Linked DNA regions of Notamacropus eugenii. The protein of the gene in region 3 interacts with the protein of the main gene of each other region in a pairwise test. Links are inferred from orthologs where the notes say so. Each region holds a gene or a part of one and is shown on either strand. Other genes may lie near its edges.

What was found.
Region 1: the proteins of BAG3 (region 3) and LITAF interact in binary tests that used the Homo sapiens proteins (3 or more experiments, as listed by UniProt). The two-hybrid records come from large-scale screens. The link is inferred for Notamacropus eugenii from reciprocal best matches to the Homo sapiens genes BAG3 and LITAF.
Region 2: the proteins of BAG3 (region 3) and ARRDC3 interact in binary tests that used the Homo sapiens proteins (3 or more experiments, as listed by UniProt). The two-hybrid records come from large-scale screens. The link is inferred for Notamacropus eugenii from reciprocal best matches to the Homo sapiens genes BAG3 and ARRDC3.

The regions. Positions count from the first base shown.
Region 1 is NC_092872.1:91,387,340-91,394,416, reverse strand, and holds the start of LITAF (lipopolysaccharide-induced tumor necrosis factor-alpha factor), read left to right. Parts: upstream 1-3,911; 5' UTR 3,912-4,106; intron 4,107-7,077.
Region 2 is NC_092875.1:449,013,675-449,021,200, forward strand, and holds the start of ARRDC3 (arrestin domain-containing protein 3), read left to right. Parts: upstream 1-4,297; 5' UTR 4,298-4,304; coding exon 4,305-4,584; intron 4,585-7,411; exon of another isoform or gene 7,412-7,526. UniProt on the Homo sapiens protein: Adapter protein that plays a role in regulating cell-surface expression of adrenergic receptors and probably also other G protein-coupled receptors.
Region 3 is NC_092872.1:199,785,689-199,793,158, reverse strand, and holds the start of BAG3 (BAG family molecular chaperone regulator 3), read right to left. Parts: upstream 3,105-7,470; 5' UTR 2,710-3,104; coding exon 2,518-2,709; intron 1-2,517. UniProt on the Homo sapiens protein: Co-chaperone and adapter protein that connects different classes of molecular chaperones including heat shock proteins 70 (HSP70s), e.g. HSPA1A/HSP70 or HSPA8/HSC70, and small heat shock proteins (sHSPs), e.g. HSPB8.

The DNA.
Region 1 (7,077 bases), about 110 Mb from region 3:
ATTGTTCAGGTTCAAATTCCAGGAAACATAACAATTCATGCAGGCAGTATGGGGATTGAGAAAAGCCCTGGGAGACAGAGACAAGGAAGTCCCTTTGATTGATGAAGGATTAGCAAAGTACTGGTCCTTGCTAGGAACCAAGGGGAGGACACCAAGGTGGGAAAGAGAGGTACAGAGATCAGAGAGAGTCAAAGACCTGTCAAGGATTCCAGTGAATGGAAACAGAACTCAGAGTCTTAGAACCTCATGCTTGGAGACCAAGCAAATAGTATTGGGTGATCTTTGGGGTCAGATCTATCCCTGAGATGGGTGTGGAGACAGTGACATGCTAAGATTAGCCAAGTAATGGTGGCAAACCTGTTTGCAGACATGAAGGGTAATTCTGAATTCCTAACTCAAATTACCTTGGTCTTAGTGTATCTCTGGAACTGGAAAGTGTGACCCAGGAAGCCTGGGGGACATCTGTGTACAGTTCTTCTGAGAAGTCTGACAACAACAAAGGAAGTTGTCTTTTTCTGCAGTCTCATTTTTCATGACTTCTCCTTTGGCTGTTAAAAGGAAGAGTGGTATTCTAAGTTTGGGGAAGCAAGCTAAAGGCTAAATCCTATTTTGGGGTGAGCAGTTTATCTTCTTGTGAAGGCAGGAACCATGGTGAGAACTGGATACACATAGCTGATGCTCTTTCATGCTTTTATATGAAAAACAAGACTAAAACACAGAAGGCAGTCTGGAAAAGTCCCCGAGATTTAACTTTGCCCGCCAGGCAGGGGCTGCTGTTCTGATTACAGAGGGTCACCATCTTCAGACAATTAAATTAGCTGTAGGTAATTGCCTGCTTGCAGGCAAGGCTCTCTGGCTTAGCACAGAAGCGCTCTGTTTGTATGTCTTTCTCGGCAAACAATTGCATCTCCATTTCAGGGCATGATCTCAGAAGCCTTGGAAAAAAGAGAACATTGTTCAGTGATAAATATATGCACCACTAAGTTGCCTTGGTGAAGAGGAAGAGTTCACTTACAGAGGCTGGCTCTGGCAACTACTTATAGTGCTCAAGTCTGATTATGTACGCCCAGAGGGGAGAAAAAATTAGCTGAAATCAGGGCTCCACTTTCAAGACTGGTTCATGTGATACCATATGTAACCAAGGATAGCAAATACACTTCCAAATCCCCTATGAAGTCAACTGAGAGCTGGAATCTCCCTAGACTTGGCAGTAGCAAGAGTTCAGTTTCCTGTGTACTAGGAGTTAGTCAGTATGTTTTTCCTCCTGCAGGGTTATAACAGGGTAGCACATGAAACAAGTGGCATTATTTTTTTGTGCCCTGCTGGGAAGCTGCTGGTTGGAAATCCAAGTGGTGTTTTTTACCTCGGAATTTTTACAAAAAAGAAAGGAAGGAAGAAAGAATTAAGAAAGCAAGGAAGGAATTGAGAAGGGAAGAGAGAAGAAATGTAGGGAAGAGGGAAAGTTGGAAGGAAAGAGGAAAAAAGAAAGAAGAAAATTAAGAAAGGAAGAAAATAAATTAAGAGAGGAAAGAAGATTATAAGTTTAAAACTATTCTAATAAGTAACCTCAAGGTCCTACTAGTAACTTTAAACATTTGAAAAAAATAAAGATTATTGCTTAAACTCGAGTTAAATGTCTGTTATGTTCAATGAATCAAGGGAAAGGAGATAAAGAAAAACTGTGAGAAAAAGTGAATTTTTAAGACACATGGAAAATTAGGCATATGATATATTTTTACTACATCATATTAAAAAATCAAACGAGTTTGGTTTTTGCTTTACTATTTTGGTTTCTTTCCTATCCCCACCTCCAAGTCTCTTACTTACTGGTACAGGACTCTGTTCAGGGATAGCTTAATGATATGGTCTCTTTTTGTCTGCCAAAGAGCCCTTCAGTTGAAAGGTGACAGTGAACCAGTTATCATGGAGGAAACATATGGTCTGGTTCTAAGTAATAATATATTGCTAAAGTGCTGTACTTATTGAAAGTTTACAGAGACGAAGATGAGTGACATCAGGGTATAATGCAGAGAAGGTCAGCGTTGGAGTGAAGAAGATCCAGGTTCATGCTCTGCCTCTGACACGTATAGCTTTGAGACCATGGGCAAATCATTTAATCTCAGTGCTTTAGGTCTAGACAATTTTCTAAGACTATAAATTGTAGAGAAGTTACCAATCTGCATTGGTAGAGGGAGTTTCCTCACTTGGGAGTTCCTTATACCGATGAAATCATAGATATAGTACCTATCCATATAGATATATACACATAGATGACGACCAGACATTCCCTATATTGATGAAATCGCAGGTCCAATGTTTATTCATACACACATAAGCACACACCTTTTAACTCATCAGAGGAAAAGCATTGTTGGGTAGATTCTTTATGGAGGTGTTATGGAAAGAAATGGAGAAGTATAACAGGATAAAACATACTTGCTGTGTTGCAATCCATTCTGATGAGATCATAGATTTATTGATGAATTTTTCACAAACTTTGCCAGACTGATATATAGCCCCTTTTAAAACTTCTAGTTTTGCTGCACTGAGTTGGGTTGTCATGGTGATTTTGGTGGAAGGACTCTGGGAGTGGGAGTCATGAGACTGGGGTTCTAGTCCAGGATTTGTCACTGACTTATTCTGTGACCTTGGATAGGTCATTTCACAACTACTAGCTTCCCTTTCCCCAATTGTAAAATGGAGTTCTCTGATGTTTATTAAAGGAAAATTGGAGGAAGTTGTGGAGGAACTTTGCATAGAAAGTTAGTGGTGGAGATAAGATTTTGAGTTACTGCTTTCCATTGACATTTGTGACTCAGAATTCATGGAAAATGGGAGCAGACATAAATCATTGGTTCAGCTAGGTCTGTCCCAGTGGATAGAGTGCCCGTCCTGGAGTCAGGAGGACCTGAGTTCAAATCCTGTTTCAGATACTTACTAACTGTGTGACCCTGGGCAAGTCATTTAACTCTGTCTTAGTTTCCTTATCTATAAAAACAAGCTGAAGAAGGAAATGGCAAACCACTCCTGTATCTCTGCCAAGAAAATCCCAAAGGGGTTGGGGATGGGTTGGACACCACTGAACAACAACGATAATAGGTCATTCTAGAAAGGGCAAAGAGGACAGAAGAAAGATTGCGTATAATCAGCTCAGTGAATTCCCCTGGGGGAAGTGGTCATTGGCTCCTCTTGAGAGAACGAACAGGGAGAAGTTAGACTGTAGAAGGACCACACCAAAGCGTGTGAGAAAGAAGTAATCGGGTGGAGACTGAAATCTGGGAAGGGCAGACAGGGGATGAGAAGAGTGTAACTGGGGAAGGAAATGAAGGCAAAACTGGACCAAAAAGGGAGGAAATTTGAGGGAGAAAAGAGCAGTGCGATATCTGATGTATTGGGAGTTAGGTGACCCCGAGTCCTAGTATCTAGTTGTGTCCCAAAATAACTGTGAGCCTGGGAACGTGACTAATTCTCTCTGGGCCTCAGTTTCCTCCTCTGTAAAATGAGAAAGTTGGACCAGATCAAAGGTACTTAACCTGGAGTCGGTGGACTTAAGGCGGTGGGGCGCGGATAGATTTCTAAGGCACAGTGAACGTGGCCAAAAAAAATTACATCTGTATTTTCGCCAACCTTTGGATTCTTTTGTAATCCTATGGATTTCATGCATTTCTGATTCTGAGGAGGGCTTTACCAGACTGGAAAGGGGGCCATGACCTAAAAAAGGTCTGGACTGGACGATTTTTAAGGCTCCTTCCAACTCCGAGAGTTTCTGAATCAGAGGATGGAGAGGCTAAAGGGCTCTTCAGCAACTGGACAGGACGGCCAGAGGGAAGCCACCGGCTAACGAGCAGGACCAGGGAGCCTTTAGCCACAAGAGGAAGGGGCTGGGCAGGGAAGGGAAGGGGGCGGAGAGCGAGACTAGGCGGGACGGGACGGGAAAGGACGGGACGGGGCTGCAGCTCTCCGGAGCCGGGCCAGGAGGCGGGGAGAAGCCGGAAGCCTGTCGAACTGCGCTGCCCGCCCCGGTCCTCTCAGACCCGCCCCCTCGCCTGCCCCGGCGAGCTCAGACCTCCGGCTCGGCACGGCTCGGCTCGGCTCGCTAGGCGCTGGTAAGTGCGGGCCTCCTCGAACCCAGACTGCGGTGGGTGGGGGGTGAGGAGGACCGAGAGCTCGTCTTGGTGAGTTTCGAGGCAGGGGACGGGGGTTCAGGGAGGGGCAGAGGGTGTGATGGCCACCTTCAGACTGGTCCTGGATCGGAGCCTGGCCCGAGGGGAGGGGGCGGGCTGCGGCCAGCCCGGGGCCCCGCCGCCGCCTTTCTTTCCTCGGCACCTTCTCCCTGGATGGCTCCTCGCTTACCAGGAGCTGACTGTGTTGGGGTCGGGTTCGTTTAAAAAAAAAAATCTGGGAGACCTCGGGGCATACCTCGATGGTCTCTCCGTCCCTAATGTTCTGGTTTCAGACGTGCTTAGAACCCAGGACTGGAAGTCCCCGAGTGGGCAGAAGTTGAGTCCTTCCTCCCACGCTGGCTCAGTTTAAGGAGGGCAGGCAGGCAGGCATCTTCCCTCCTCCCAGGGCAATCCTTCTGGGCGAGTTAAAGGGGAGAAGAAAACACCACCCACACGTCCTCCGGGACTTGGGGGCAGCTTCAGGTGGTTCGGGACTTGGTCCTTCCTTAGGCTCTTTGGTTGTGCGGCTCCGAAAGGAAGTTCGTACGAGCTGAAGTGCCAACAGGTTCGCACCGCGTTGGACCACCCTGTTCTGGATCTGAAGGAGGCCAGCCAAAGGGAGGGAACTTGCCTCTAGGATATGGACTGACAATCCCTCCCGCCCCTCCCTCCCCCCCCCCCCGCCCCCCATCCCCCCATCCCGGCCTGTGTACCGGAATGGAATGGAAAGGAAAGGGTCTAGAAGCTTTGAACTGATCAGGAGGGGGAAGTTCTCGGTAGGTAACTGAAGGAACTTAGGAGCTGGAGCTGAGGTGTAGCAGATGTCCCGCGGTTGGGGCAGGATGAGTGTCGTGGACGAGCTTGGTAACTGTGTCGCTGCTTGCCAGAGGGACTGGCCAGACTATTTGCAAAGGCATGTGAAGTCACTGGTCCAGTTTGCAATAACTGGAGGAGGTTTCTATTTTTATTTCCCAGGGGAGTCCAGTGATTTGAGTGAGGTCAGAGACTTGGAGGCAGAGCCAGAAGGAAAACTCAAGCTATGTGTTCAAAGTCAGAAAAAAAAAAACCCTACTGTGGTAGCCTCCAGATCCCAAAGAAGGACTCATGGCTCTTTTTGGAAACAGTTTGTGGATACTTTCATGGGCGCAGTTGCCACACTGCTCCTTCACTCAGTCATTCAAATATGAGGAGACAGATGTTTGTTCACCTCTGTTCGACATCATATGACGAACACATTACTACTTCCCTTCATTTGAACCTTGAGACAGGAAGACCTGAGTTCAAATATAGCCTCAGACATGCTCTAAATGTGTGACCCTGGGCAAGTCACTTAACCACCCTCTGCCTCAGTCTCCTTATCTGTAAAATGGGGCTAATAATAGCACCTACCTCCCAGGGATTTCATGAACATCAAATGAAATGATGTTTGTAAAGTGCTTTCCAAATCTTAAAGTTCCATAAAAATGTTGTTATTATGATAACGTTATTACTAGATATGTAGTTCTTAGCTCCTGAAGTGAGAAGGTGGAAGTATTCACATTCCTGAAATAAAAGCATGTTGAAGATCTGCTTACTGTCCATTCGCTTTGGTTACTGACTTCTTTCAGCACCTTACAGTTTCCTGTTTCCATATCTAGACTAAAATGTTAATTTGTTGTTTCATAATCTAGAGCACATGGGATGGCCATGTCTCCAAGCCTGTGTGATCCTGGGCAAGTCACTTAGCCTCTCTGCCCCTCTCCTCACCACCAGCATTGTCTAACGTGTTTTCTCAGCAGGGAATTCCATATATCACTGGGGTGAAGTTCCCACATAAGGAAACAGGGAAAGGAAGCAAATCATTTATTAAGCAAATATTATGTGCCAGGCACTGTACTAAACACTTTACAAATATTATCCCATTATAACATTAACGATTTCTTTTAGACCTGAGATTTTTACTCTTGTTTCCAAGAACGTAGAATTTTTGAATAACAGTTTTAAGTATGATTGATTTCCTATGTACTCCTCTGTATTTCATCTTATGCGTTTAAATACATGCTGAGAAGGGCTCCATACTTTGTCTCAACCAGATGGCCAAAGATGTCCATGACATATACAAAAAAGTTTAAGAACTTCTGATTTAACATGTCTGGTCCAATGGAATTCATACTAATTAGACATTGGGAAACATCCAAAAGGGATCCAGGTTTATTGTAAAAATAATTGTGCAAATATGTGGGGTTTGGTCTTAGTTTAAAACTACAACTATTTCTCATTAAGTCTGTGCTGAAGCTGGTTTTCTTTTAGGCTATAGGATTATTTATACTTTGCCACTGCATGTTTTTTTAATGGGATTGAGTTCATTTACCTTTTAAAATTATTATTGGGAAATTCAAGGTTTCTTGAAGTCATCTCGACTTCTAAAGTTGGTGTTTTCTTTGCAAAAATGTTGCCAGGAAGATTCAGCTGCTAACCTTCCTAGGTAGATAGATTTCTTTTAGGCAGTTGAGTTTATGTTCTCTCACTTGAAACTTGAAACTAAAGTTTTGCCTGAATTATATCAACTGTAAAAATCCCCCGAGACACGTTACTGAAAAGTAATGGCTTGCTTTAGATTGTGGTAAGACTACTTCATCTTTCATAGTCCCTGCCTCCTACCCCCTAACCTCAACCCTCCTCATCTTGGGCCAAGTTGCTTTTCTTGCAAGTTGGCAGTTTTAAATTATTATTTCCTAGGCATGCGTTATTAGTAAAACAATAAATTCACTGGGATGGAAGATAGCAACATGGAGTACAATTAATAGCTTTAATCCAAACATTTAAGATAAGTATTAAGTTTTCATTTCGTTATATGGTTTCAATTTTGGGGCAAATCAATAAATTATTGAGGGACTCAGTTTCCTTATCTGTAAAATGAGGGAGGTCATGGGCA
Region 2 (7,526 bases), on a different chromosome or scaffold from region 3:
ATTGGCCTGATTTGCCATTTCCTTCTCCAACTCATTTTACAGATGAGGAAACTGAGGCAAACAGGAATAAATGATCTGCCAATGGTCATACAGCTAGTGTCTGAGGCCAGATTTGAACTCAGATTCTCCTGACTTCAGAGGCAGTGCTCTCTCTACTGTGTGACCCACTGGAAGAAAACTTCAGGGGAACAGAAATTAAGAGCCCCTCCATTCACTGTTCTTTTATTAATAATTTCATAAATATTTCACAAATATTTTAGTTTTGATTAGAAAAACCATTTCCACCAAGATGCTTAAAATTTAATAAGCTTTGTTTATCGTTCAGACTCTTCTGAATAAGCAGAAAAAAGGAAAAAATAATTATTTCGTCTAAATGGACCAGTGGACAGGTTTGCAAACTAGACTGGGGGGAAGGGATACACCTCTTGGTAGTGCCTGCTATGTGCCAGGCACTGTGTTAAGAGTTTTAATATTATCTCACTGGAACCTCTACTTCTTTTTCAACTTGCTGGCCAGAAATGAGTCTAGAGTAGGGATTTTCAGAAGAGAAAGGAGGTAACTTGCAGCAGTGGGAGGTTGTTCGGAGGATAGGAAGCAGCATGGAACTATGCACAGAGGCAACAGGGGGACAAGTGAACAAAGAGGGCAGAAAGATGGGCCTGACAGGAGTACAGAGAGTTAGCAGATGAGTAGGAGGAGATGACATAGGAGTTTAAAGTTGGGGTGTAGTAGGGGAAAAGCCTTGGTGGTGAGTAGGAATAACTTAAACTTATGCAAAAAACAAAAAGGACCAAGAAAAGCTATTTGAGAAGGATAACAACATGGTTATAACACAGGAAGAAAGGAAGGTTATTCCGACTGTGGTATTTTAAACTGACTCAATGGTGGATAATTTGGACAAGAAATCCTGAAAGGGAAAAAAATGCCATAATCATGAGAGAAGACATTCAAATTTTGGACAAATATTTTTTTTTTCACAAGAAATAGAGAAAAGCAGACACAGATTTTAAGAGATACTGAACGAAGAATCAGGATTTTATAGTTTTAGACCCTGAAACAAAAGGAAACAGAGAAGCAAAAATGAACCTAAAATTCATGTAAGATCTCTTATCTGAAAAACATACAAGAGAAAAGTACTCTGAATAAAAAGAAAGTATAAAGTACTAAGAAAGCATATTACATTTTTCAGGAGTTAAAGTGTTAGTGGAGAAGCAATAAACACTAACTTAGTATTTCTTTAGCATTACTAAAAGGATTTTTATAAACAAAAACTCAAAAGACAAACAACTAGATAAGAGCAAACCCAACAGATAAACAAACTCTAAATAAGTCCAGAATAAAAAACATTTTTAAAATAGAGAAGAAATAAATTGGGAACCGAAAATACTGTAGAGCCACTAAACAAAACTAAGACTGTTCTTTGAAAAGGATAACAAAATTAACACACCTTTACCCGACTTGATTTAAAAAGAAATACTGGCAATTTATTGAATCCAAAAGGCCCAAATATTAGGAATTGTATAAAACCAAGAATAAATTATAAACTGTACCTACTGTTTTTAACCATGGCCTTGTAAAGCATGGTTTTCAGAAATATCTGTATTTTCACAGGAGAAATTTCTCTCCAAGTTCTGAAACATCCAGCCACTGATAAACTGTATTTAATCATGGAAAACGCCAACTAGCACTGCAACCTTTCTCATAGTGTACAGTAATTCTTTCTGTCATTACTGAACTAAATAGCATTTAATACTGAAGAAGCTGAAGTAGGCATTTTGGCAAGTTCAACAGCTTTACCACTAGGTGGCGGAGAAACACAAGTCTTATCTGTACTCCAAGACTAGGCTAGCCCTTCAAAGGATTTGATAAGACCCATAGAATTTCCACCAGGTGTCAACCAAGAGAAGATATACTTTTTTCCCCTATGAAAGACAGACCCATTATGCTGAACACAACCGTCCAAATTAAGAACAATTCAAAAAATACTTATTAAGACTTTCAAAGTTTATTAAAGTTTGTAAATTTCGAAATTCATGAAACACTGTCCACAAAAATCTAGTGAAGCAGAAAATATAGCTATTTCAGCCTCATTTTACAGGCTCACAAGTTCAGTGACTTACACATGGTCACACAGTTAATAAGGATAGAACCCTGGGGTCTGACCTAGGTGTTGACTTTGTCTAGTACACTGGCTCCACCATATCATGTAATTTTCTACATTAATGCATTGTATCCTATCCTAGGTCAGAGGAGATACTTAGTCTCATGAACAATAAATTCATAAACAAAGATCTCTAGCTGGATGGGAATTTGAAGGTTACTTATTCCCTCATTTTGCAGACCAGAAATCTGAAGTTCATAGCACTTAAAAGACTGGCCCAAAAGTCACAAAGTAAGAAACTAGAATTTGAACTCTGGTCCTTTTCCCCCAAAAGCAGTGCTCTCCACATCATTATAAGTCTGAGTCTCTGGCCTTTAAAGAGTTCATACTTCAGCAAAATACTAATATATCCATAGACAAGATGCAGTGACAAGAAATAAGTAAGCTATCCTCAGTCATAGGTTATTTATATATTTCACAAAGTAGTCAGCAAAACTAACACTTCATCGTGACATATCTACTCAATTTATTCCACTAAAAAAATCTAAAACAGAAATGACAATGTAGAAAAGATGACCAAAGTGTACTATTATTTTGGTCATTTTTTTGCTAAATGCAGAAAATAAGAAAAAGGGAGGGAAGATTAAAATTTTAAGTTTTAAAATATTATTTTACCATTAAACTTACCTGCAAATTTAGTAAATATCCTCAGTAGCTTACTCCTTTCTTAGACTTCATTAGAGTCAAGCTTTAGTTTTGAAGACTTTTTTTTTAAAGCAAAATTGTTTCAGTCTGAGATCAGGAAATCAGGAATTTTATATTATGAAGGAAAGTCTTCATAGCTCAACTGTTTCTAAACAGAAAAAAAAATGGGAATGTGTATCTTGAAGATGTACATCCAGAATTAATATTCTTGCTGAATAATTCAAGGTTTCCAAAGCCACACTGGTGCTTTTTAAAATAAACTATGTTTAATATCATTTAATCCAGAATTAGGATTTAAAAAAAAATCATCCACACTATTTCTCCCTACAGTGTTTTGTTCTTTTTGTAAACAGAATGTCTAAGTAAACACTTGGTCTTGTGTTTTCTAAGGTTTCATTTCTTATTTAAACCAGACAATTCTTGAAGTCCTCTCAGCACTTCTTGTCAAACCCTTAAAATACGATTTGTAGGTGGTTCCTTTAAACAGGACTCTTTCTTTTAAGGAAGTGGTCAGCCCTAATTATTTGGTCGTTGGTTGTTTTTCATGGCAATGGAGGTTAGAGATGGAGAGGGCACACAGCTCTGCTTAAATTCAACTGGCCTCTCTCCTCGTCCATGGCAAGATTCTCAAAGGAAAGGCAGGATTCCTTTGACCTCCATGGAGTCAATTTCACCCTACCTCGAACAGCAACAAATACAAAGTGTCCAATCCATCCTCCCTGAATTTGTCTGTTAACCACATATTTAAAGCCTGGGTTTGTTGTCATTTTTTTATTGCAATTTCTCTTGAAATTCATCAGATCACGTTATACCGGCCCGTCCAACAGGTTTCTCCCTTCCCCCTCCCCCTCTCCTCTTTCTCCAGCAGTGCCCGGTGGGCACAGGTCAGCCCTGCCCTCCGTGCACGCCCTGGGCGAGCGGTTCAGCAGCAGCAGCCACCCTGGCCTCCTTCCGCCTGCGTCCCCTCGTGTCCCCTGCTCTGCCATTACGGCTCTATCACGGCTATTCGAATCTGCTCGGTAGTAAAGCCTCCCATCCCACTTCTGGAGTTTTACGGTAGCCTGCGCACCAATAGGAACACTCAATGAAGAGAAGTCAGGTTCAGCTCTCCGTCTACAGCAGTCTTCTTCCCTCTGTTCTACACCTACTGTACCAGAAAGGAAGAGGGACGCGAGGGAGGGGGGAGGAAAAAGGCAGCAGCAGAGCCGTGCGCATGCTCTGTGGGGTTGTTTTTCACAAAGCTGGTTTTAAAGTGAGCTGGCAAGCTGTAGCCACCCGTCTTTGTACAGAGACCACTGATCTGAGAAGCAGCAGCATCCAGTGCTGTGACTTTTTAAGAAACCTCAATGAACTATTTGTAAAGAAGGCACTGATCCTGCCTGCAAGCCTTTTGCACGGCAAAGACATCGATCAGTGTTTAGTGAAGATCGCATTTTATATGTGATCTTGACCTTTTTTTGGTCTTACATTATATTTTTTTATAGATTTTGTTATAATCATGGTGCTGGGGAAGGTTAAGAGTTTGACAATAAGCTTTGACTGTCTTAATGACAGTAACGTCCCTGTATATTCTAGTGGGGATACAGTCTCAGGAAGAGTGAATTTAGAAGTTACTGGGGAAATCAGAGTAAAATCTCTAAAAATTCATGCAAGAGGACATGCGAAAGTACGCTGGACCGAATCTAGAAATGCTGGATCCAACACTGCCTATACACAGAATTACACTGAAGAAGTAGAATATTTCAACCATAAAGACATCTTAATTGGGCATGAAAGAGGTAAGTTTTTTTGATTATTCAGAAGTCATAAAGGAATATGATTTTCTTTAACTTGCCTCTTATTTTCTATGAATTGGTGCAATTTAACTCTTGGCTTTTCAGTTTGAAATCTGAACGTTTGTTGTAGAGAATCTTTTTTGCAGACTTGAAAATCTGAATTTTTTTTGACATCTATCGAGTGTTAAGCAGCAATGCATTCGAGCCATCTGCAAAGTGACTGTATAAGAACACTTTGCTAACTACCTCTAACATCTCTATAAGCCTCTTGCAATACGCACTTGCAATTCATGTGTACCTTATTTCTAATAGCTCCTTCCATCAGATTTCAGCATTTTAATAATATGGTTTCCAAACGCATTGCTAGAAACTGGAGTCGAATCTCAACTGGTTTTTTGTGGGGTTTTTTTTTTTTTTACTTTGCAACCTTGGCTCTACAAAATGAGTTGCAATAAAAGCATGGAGTAGCATCTTCTAATGAACGCTTAGAGGTGCATTTTAGATTTTAACATCGACATGCAATAATTTCAGAATTAATCATTGTTCCTTGAAAAAGGGCTTCCCGTAGCTTATTTTGACATATGCTATCAAACACCCCACGTGTTATTTTTTTCTTTCCTATTCAATTCCAAATTCACATCAAGCTACCTTTTTATCTTTTCTTAGAAAAAATGAAAAAAAAAAAGACTATCATCATGGTAGCTTTAAAATTTGACCAAGAGGCCATTTAGGGTCAATTCTTTTCTTTTAAGAGCATCATTTCTAACTTTGGAACATACATTGAATGAAACCGGTGCCAGTCAAAAGGAAATGTAAAGGACTTCTCACGCTAGGTCTGATTTTGGTTAAAAAAGGAAGATAAAGACTGTCAAAGGGGGAAGGGGTCCTGAGATTGCTAATCTATTGTTTGAATGGATACATTGTGGAAATATAGCAGACTCTAAGCTTGTTTTTCTAAGTTTCCACCCTTTGTTAGAAGCGGTTCAATCCTGTTTCGGACCAGTACTGGGGGGGTGAGGAGGGGCGCCTGTTCTGCTCTCAGCAGATTGGTTACACGCGTCAGGTGGTGGCGATGACTTAATTCCTAGCACCAGACTATAATGTTAAAACTGGTTATGTAATTCTTGGTCCTTCTCCTTTTTAATGCAGTATTTAGTTCAGACGTTGACGATTTTGCAGATAAAACTAAGAATTTGAGATATTTTGCCTATTTTCCCCTCTTTTTAAGCAATTTATATTCCTACCTAAATGATGCCATCTCAAGCCTCAGTCAAATGTAGGCATAAATGAAAGATAATCTCACTTCCATGTACGATGCAGCATGTCAGGGTGTTACGGGGAAAATGACGTTTCCATAGAATAAAACATTTTAAAACTATCTGCCCATGATGTGCAGACTTTCATTGTTAAGGCCCTCAAACATCGAACCACCCTATAAAGAGCAAATGCCTAATCACATTCCTGGTGCTTATTTAAAAGTAGCCACCGGAGTTTGCAACTAATCACCTAAATTATCCATTTTTTTTTTTGGCGGGGGGAAGGGGGTAGGTAAATTGTTGAGTAGATATAAAAGACGTAGTTAAGAGAGACTCGCAATGGCTGGGGGTAGGGAAGAATGATGGGAAAAAATGAGAGCGCAGAATACACTTTAATTTGTGTCTGCCATATTTCATTAACAAGAACCTGTTATCACCCACCCCCACCCACTCACCACCCCCAGTCCGACCAAACGCGGACCGACGTTAACCTGGAATAGTTTCAATGACTTAGACCAGGGACCTCTCAAACTAGCCTGGTAACCGAGGCCACGCCCCGTGCCGGCAGCGATAGGCGGAGTTTGGTTTGTTAGCCTGTTGCTAAGGCGATGCCAGCTGCTGATTGGATTGGGTGCCTGTCCCGGTGGGGAGAGGGAATTCAGGGAGGGAGGGGGCGAGGCTTGAGGATTCCAGTTCCTGGATTCCGGCGCGCGCCGGTAAAGGTTCCTCCTGGGCAGCCCGTCAGTCGGCCTGTCTGCGGTCCCCATCCTTGTCCCTGGGCAGCCCCACGCAGTGCTTTTGGGACCCCGCTATGCTCCGTTGCCCTTCTAACTCCCTGCATTAACCCCCCCCCCAGACCCTTGTTGGAGGCCCCCGCAGGATACTAATTGGCCTTTCGTGGAATGAAAATGCTAATTTCTCTGTCTCCTCCCCCCCCATGGCCTTGAGGATACCGGGATTGTCTTGGACCCTCCCGTTTTTAACTGGAAATAACCGGACTAGGCAGGTTTGGGGGGGAAATCTTTGCCTCTGCAGAGGCGTGGAGGAAGGTCTAAAAGAGTGTCAATTTTGTTTAAAAGGAAGGGTGTTTCCCACCCACCTAGCCATGCGATAACAAAGCGCGTTACCTTGCCATGACCCAAGAGGAGGGCTAGCCAGGACCGGAGAGAGCAAATCACTGGGGGTGGGGGACAAATCATGCTTAGTAAGTATTACGTCTTAATCACATTAGGACTTCATGCACGTCTGTGTGCATACACACCTTCCCTTTGGGGACCCTTTGCATTGCGTTTTGCGTTGCATTATTATATTTTATGACCCCCACCCTATTTTTTTTTTTTGGCTTTGTTCCGATTACCAAAGCCAGTAACACCCACCCCTAAAGATGTCTGAGCCAAACGTAGGCAAAACCCCTTGGGCACACTGGCCTGGGTGTGCAAAACCGGAAGCTTAAGAGGAGAGGGTGTCTTTGCACACACCGCCCCCACCCCGGCTTCCTCACCCCTCCCCTTCTTGGGGCTATCCAGCAGGCTAGGCTGCGCGTGAGCGAATGCGCTGGAGTGTAATGTATACTGTATGTATATTGGAGGCTGGCTGGCTGGCTGGGGCTCAGCTCGCGCCGGTTTAGGCCGGTCCTCTCCTGCTTGAGTCTAGTCTTTGATTGACAGCTCAGCACTTGTTTACCACTGG
Region 3 (7,470 bases):
TTTATTAATAACTGCCTTGAGTTTTCCTGATCTCTACAGGTTTCCCATAAGCTGCTTGTCTATACAGAAATGGCATGGCAAAATAAATGTTCTATAACTACCTGATATCTTCTAAGCTGATTTAAAATGCCAACCCAGCTACAATACAAAATCTCCGTAAGATGATTTCTACCCCACCCAAGTGGTTGCACATTCAAAAATTCATGTATACAATTATGTCGGATGTTAATTATAGAAAATTAGTCAGCTGTGCTAATTTTTAGAAATGAGTACACAATTAATTATTTGTGAATTTAGTGTCTGTGGATAAGGGAGCTTCCTCAATGTTCTAAGATTATGGGATCATAGCATCGGAATCTTGATACTAGAGGGGATAATCTGAGGCCATCTGTAGTTCGAGAAACTGAGACCCAAGGCTTGGTAGGTAGACTCATGTGGGAAAAAGCAATAAAATTTTTCTTAAAATACTAGTTATACTTCCCTAAATTCTTTTTTTTCATACTTGAGTGCCTTCTATTAATTCAAATTATTGCTTTATTGACCTTCTGGCTATGACTTTAGTATTTATTATGAAGTGTTGACTATTCCTTCTTCAATTACATTCTTTAAATGTTGGAAATAAGAGTTGGTTTTATTTTTTTCTTAGGGTATTTAGCTTTAATTGTAATATAAAAGTAAAGGTACAAAAAAGCCCATTACTAACAATACTAAAATGATATCTCTCCTGTAAATCCAGGAGCCTAGCTTAGGAGCAAAAGTACTCTGGCAAGAGCTAGGCCTGAAAAGCCGCAAATGTGCTGCTGGCCTAATGCTGAGACAAGGAGAGTCACCTTCACAGCTAGCTGGACTCTGCTTTTTGCTGCTGCATGAGTGGGCAACAGAAAAACACTGCTTGCCTTCCCTGCCCACCATTTTTAGGGGACAGCTGGGAAGTTTCCACTCATTTCAGAAGAAGAGTCAGGAACCTTCCTTGGCAGCTAAAGAAGCCAGGCTTTGGAGGCCCTGAGCCAAATGTTGTGGCTCCATAGAGTCCACCCAAACTTCTTTCAACATAGGCCTTAGCAACCTCTGACTTTCTCTTCTAGCTTTTCCACTATGCTCAGAAAGCTCCAGAGACCTGCCGAGGCATGGCCCTGACACAAAGATAGAATTTTTTGAATCACTGCTTCTTGGTGTTCCACCCCAAGCTAGAGACAGTTTTACTAAAGATATTTTCATTAAGAATGGAAATTTTAAAACTAAACAATACAAGCACCACAAAATATCAAGAGACTAGATTGTTCCTTAAAATGAAAGTTACCGTGTCCTTTTATCTTGTCAACTGATAGCAAAAATGGCAACTCAATGTAACATTTTTCTGGACCAAATGTAACTCAGAAATCATATAACAGGGATCAGGAGATCTGAACAGGAAGAATTCTTATCAATCATCCAGTCCAACTTTCTTAGATGGGGAAACTGAGGCACACAGAACTTGAGTGCTTTGCCCAAGGTCACCCACATAAGGGGTAAAGCCTAGAATTCAAATCTAGGTCCTCTAAATCTGGAACCTCTAGGTTTTCCTCTACATCTGACTGCCTCTCTCACAAGCATCTCTATCTATGGACTTATTTAGAATAGAAATGCCTCTCTCCTGTGAACATACATTCAAACTAGGCAGGAGACAAAACTTCCCAGGCAACTTGCAAAAGGAGCAAAAGAAGACAGCCAACCCTACTCAATTGTTGTGTCTGTGTGCCTTTTGCGCTGTACGTAGTCCGCTGTTAAACCTGTGGACACAGCTGAAGAATAAATCAGTTTCCCTTGTGTCTCTGCTGCTCGGGTGGACTTAACCAACTTTAAATAAACATTACAGGGCTAAAGTATCAAATGATTTAGCGCACTAAGAAGAGCTGCAGTGCGTCAGAGACAAAAGGCAGCTCCTGCTTTCTACTTGGGGGGTGGGGTAGGGTGGGGAGACAAGGGGCTTGCCAATGAATGCCCTTTCCACCTCCTGCCCTTCCCTGGCCAGTCCCCGTGCCCGATCTCCCTGCCTCTCCCCGCCCCCCCTGCAGTGACCTGGCTAATCTGTCTCGGTCTCCAGGCCCGATCTCTCTACCACTTGCCTAGCCGCCCATGTCTTGTCCAGAACTCTCTACGGTCCTTCCCCCACGTCTCCTTCCTCTCCGCACTGCCACGCCGCTGGACAGAGTAACCTGTACATCAGCAGGGCGCGCGCGCGCACACGCAGACACATTCCCGGACCACCACCACCACCCGGCCTATCTCGATCCCCGCCCTACGGCTCTTCCTTCTGCTCCCAACTTTCCCTGCCCCGTGCTACACTCTCCCCGAAACAAACCAAAAGCGGAAGAGAAGGGAGGTCTATGTACTCCTTACTCCTTGTCCTATCCCCAAAGACGTCCCTCCCCAGTCCTTTCAGCTTTCTCCTCCGAAGCCCCCAACCCTCCAATGGTGGCTACCCCGCGGTGAAGAGTAAGCAAAGCCAGAGGTCGTGGGGGAGGAAGGACCACTCACTTTGTGCCCCTCGGGCGTGACGCGCGGGTCGTTCCATGTAGTGGTCCGGTTGTTGTGATCCACGAAGAATGGCCAACCCGTCTGTGGGTCGATTTTAATTTCCCAGCCTGGTGGCAAGGGGTCTCGCTCCCCGCCATTGCCGCTGTTGCTGGTCGCCATCTGAACCATTGGGGAGTGAGTGGCCGCGCTCATGCTCTGCCGAAGGAGCGACTTCTGCTACCGTAGCGGTGACTTCTGCTGCTGCTGTGTCTAGAGCTGTGGCTGCCGCTGCTGCTTGCTGGCGAGGCTGCTACTAGCTGGGGCCGGGGCTGGGGCTCGGCTGGGGCGGGGAGAGCGAGTTGAACTGGGTTGGGCTAGACAGGGCGGAGGCGGGGGGAGGGTGAAGTTAAAGAGGAGGCGAAGGAGGCTGGCTACAAGGGTGTCCTTAAGTCCGCCTCCGAGCACCTTTATGAATTAATGGTGGAGTGACGTGAGAGGAAAGAGCTGGAAGTATCTGGAAATAGTCCTCCCGGGGCAGAGGCACGGAGGAGATAACGAAGAGAGCGAGGAGGAAGCAACTGGCTCAGTAGAAACTTCTGGTTCCATCCAGCAGACTTGGCTGTGCCCCTTTTCCAGGATGCAGAGCTCCGCCCTGAGTCATCGGCTATTATTGTGGCCCTTAGTCTTTCCACCTAGGCCTCCGGTTCGGGGCTGCTTTAGCCTGCCTTTACTTTACTCGACTGCAGTTGGCTCCCGTTTGTAAGTTGAAAGGGAGAAGAGCTGGATAACTGAAGAAAATTTGGCCTTTTCAGTAGCAACCCACCCCTTCCGACTGCCGGTCGAAAAAGAAATCTGATTGGGAATGTGGGCCTATTGACTCTTTTTAAAAAGAGAAAATGGCAAGGGATTGCCCAAAATGATGGCATTTGGACTGGATGTTTGTAGAACTGAAGCGTTCCCAGTAACTAATTCGTGTGCTAGCTAGCTAATAAGGTTTCATTTTTCCCTTTCCATTCTTTATGGCTATTTCATAGCAGGTTAAGATTAAGAGAAAACACATGCAGATGTCCTGGTTCCTACCTTGTGTTTTTGAATCTCATCCTTAGTATTTTTGAGTTTTCTGGGGGTAAGAAATGTTAAATATGCTACATGGAGTAGTTCTGCTTGAGTTCTATATCCCAAAGAGTCGTGGAAAATCGGATCTAACATTATTTCCCCCAAAGAGAAGGCGTTTTGTAGGTCTGAAGCCTGTGCATTCCCAAGAAGAAAAAATAACTTCCATCAATTCAAAGCTTTTCCCCTACTTTTCTCACCCAAGTCAGTTACCCCTTCCTGTTCTGTTTTTACATTACAGGTTTTTCAGGACATGTCCTTCAACCACCATTCCCCATTCACCCCAATCTTTGTGCCAAAGAACAATTAAGCAAAATTAATCAACACACCAAATCACCCAGGACAATAACAGAATGTTCCATACTATAGGCCCTTACTTCTCCAAGGATCTGAGGGAGAATTTCCTCATTTCTTCTCTGGACCAAGACTGTTCAATATTAAATACAAAGCACTGAACTTCATTTTTCAATGAACCATTTTAAAGAGGAAAAATTATCTTTATTTTTTAAGAGTTGATTGCCATTAAACAAAATATATGTTGAATTAAAGTACAAAAGCAGAAATATCAATCTTGATGTGCATCTGTGAAGAAGGAAACAAGGTCAACTAATCTTTTCATTAACTCCCAGATGGGAAGCCTTTGCACTTCAGTAATTCTACGAAAATTTTATGTCCAGACTGGGAAAAGGGTTGAAATGGTTGTTACCTAGAATTTCAAATTCTGTCAGTTCATTCTTCCCCTTGAATCATCTAAATGGTTTGTGTAATAATATTGAGTCTAATTCTCCACCCTACAGATTAGAGGCTGAGATATCAGAATCATATAAATTCAAAGAAGAATGCCCTACATGGTTTTACAATGCAGGAAACAATGTTGTACTGACTACCAGTGGAGGGTGACTATCAGTGGTCACTCTGATCCCATATCCCCAGTTCTTCTGGACATATTGAAAATGGTCTGTGGCAAGTCTTCCAGTCACACAATGTTGCCTAACACTTTTACAATACAGGAGCACCACAGCAGCTGGCTCTCAAGGAAATTATGTATTTAGTTCATAAAACTGTCAATACAATGTAAATGTTTAACTTACATATTTAATTTATGTGCTTGACATCTGTCCACAGGCTATCATGGATTATAAATTCTAACAGAACAGGCACTGCTTCTCTCTTATTCTATTTAGTATGAATACAGGACATCTAATTCTATCCAGCCTAATTTTATTCTGACCCTAGCTATTCATCCCTAAAATATGATTATACTTGATCTATATATGATATAAACATCTGATTGATATAACATCTCTATTTTCTTGTCACTAGATCATCAATTCAGAGCTCAGAAGAACCTTAGTCTAATGCCCTCATTTTACCAGATGAGGAAACTGAGACCAAGAAAGGGTAAACTGATTTACTTAAGGTCACACAGGTATTAAGTGGCAGAGAAAGATGTCCTCCTACATCTATTTCACCTTAAATTGTGAGGTCATAAGAGGCTATGTAGGTATAAGATCCATAATTCTTATGACAATGCCTCACATAGTACCAACTGGATTTTTGATAAATGCATTCAGTTGAAGATGATTTTCAATTCTCTTTGCACAGCTAACAGCACAATGTGATAGGAACATATTTACCTCACGTAAGCATACAGTCAAGTCAACTGTGTCCCAAGAATAGTCAAGAAACATTTCATGTTAAAAATAATCAATCAAGTAAATTTTTATTGAAATTATTATGCGCAGGAAGTTGTCAGCTAGGATAGGGAACCTGCAGCCTAGAGGCCACATGTGACCTTCTAGGTCCTTGGATGCAGCCTTTTGACTGAGTCTAAGTTTTACAGAACAAATTCTTTTATTAAAAGGATTTGTTCTGTGAAGTTTGGATTTAATCAAAGGGCTGCACTTGAGGACCTAGAAGATCATATGTGGTGGCTTTGAGGCTGAAGGTTCCCCACCCCTGTAGGCACTTGGGCTGGGGGCGAAGGCATACAAATAAGTATAGGACATTGTCTTTTCTCTCAAGGGATTTATAATTTCAAGGAAGATAGAATAGTGGGAAAGAACATCATTTTAGGAGTCAGGAAACCCGGATTATATAGCCCCAGTTCTATCTCTGTTAGTTCCAGTTGTATAATCTACCATTAGCTGGGATAACTCCAACTCTACTACCCACCAGCTGTAACTCTGAGCAAGTGACTTCACTTTTGTGGGTCTCATATTTTCTTATCTGTAAAATGAAGGCACTAAAATATGACTTCTGAGGTGCCTTCTAGCTCTAAAATTCTCTGTTTTTTCTTGTTAGGAGGAAGTATATAAATTAAGGTCCATGATCATGCACAAAAGGCCTATGATCTAGTTGCAGAGATAAGGCATAAAAATAAAAAGTTACATAATTTTTTTCCCCTACCTTTGATTTCATCAAGGTATCTAGTTTCCATTTGATATAGATCAGCTTCTTATCATCTTAGAGAGTTATCTTGGGACTTGAGAGGTTGTTACTTGCCCATGATTATACAGCGGTTAATACAGGTAATGTCAGAAGCTGAACTTGAACCCAGGTCTTCTTGACCCCAAGGCTAGCCCTCTATCCTTTTGTCTCATTGCCCCTCTAGACACCAAAACAGGTCTTAAATAACAGCACTATACCAAAACACAAGAAATGTCATAAAGGATATGACTTGTTAATTGCTGAATCACTGTTGAGGTCAAAGGAAAGTGATGTCATTATGAGACTGAATGGTCTAGGAAGACTTAAGAGGAGAAGGGACTTGAGAAGGGCCTTTTTATAGGCTGGGTTCATTTTGCCTCTTTGCAAGTCAAATTCAAAATGCATTTTAAATTCTTATATGTCTTTCTTTGCCAAATACAGTTCATATTGTAACTAGTTTTATTTTGTGTTGGGTGTCTGGACCTGTGATTTCATCAGCATAAGGAACTCTCAGTATGAAAACTCCTCCAAAAATGCATATCTACCACTTGTCGGCAACACACAGTCTTAGGGAGTTTCCTGGGGCACTGAGGTAAGAAGGGACTTGCCCATGATCCCCACATCTAGTATGTGTTAGAGGCAGGTCTATAATTCAGATCTTCTCTGCTCCCAACACTATCTAGTATATCTTGTGCCTCTCAACTTTTTAGTAGTTTTTGTAACTAATAAATAAATATGTTGGTTGAAGTCTGTAAAATTGTTATGATTTAACCCTTATAGGCATTGTTTTTTATAGGCCCTTGCAGACACTCTTTGTTAGAGCTGAGCTCTGGAGATTTCAAGCCATCCCAGTTATACAGCACAGAGGACTGTGGATTCAAATTGGTGTTTGAAGCCAAGGGCACCGAGGCTCCCAAGCCTTCTTCAATTAAGTAGCCCTAAGCCATGATGATTAAGTGTGGCCTCTGGTGGTGTTATTATGGATAACCTTTATAGGGCTGCTAAGATAAAGCAACCTTTGTCCCAGGCAACTATGACTTAAAGCCTAAACAAGGGCAATAGTTGCCCACTAAGAAAAAGAATGAAAGGACCCACTCAATTCCTAATGGCAGCACTCCTCAGAGCTCTGGACAGTTGAGGTCTTGGCTCAGGCACAGACTTCTCCATCAATCTTTATCCCTGTTCTTGGGTCTGAATGATAGACATACTTACTCTGCAGTACTTCAAAGCAAGGTGGTTTTGTGGGTGTGAGTCCTGCCTCCATCACCACCAATCACAACTCCTCTATTCCCTTGTAGATAAGTCTTTGTGAGTTTCAATGGCTTAAAAAATCATCACCTGGTAACCACTGAGCTCTCTGAGCTTAGCTAACCTCACTTTGGGCAAGAGACATATACTCATGGCATGGCCCACCTGGTACTGAAAGGCTTG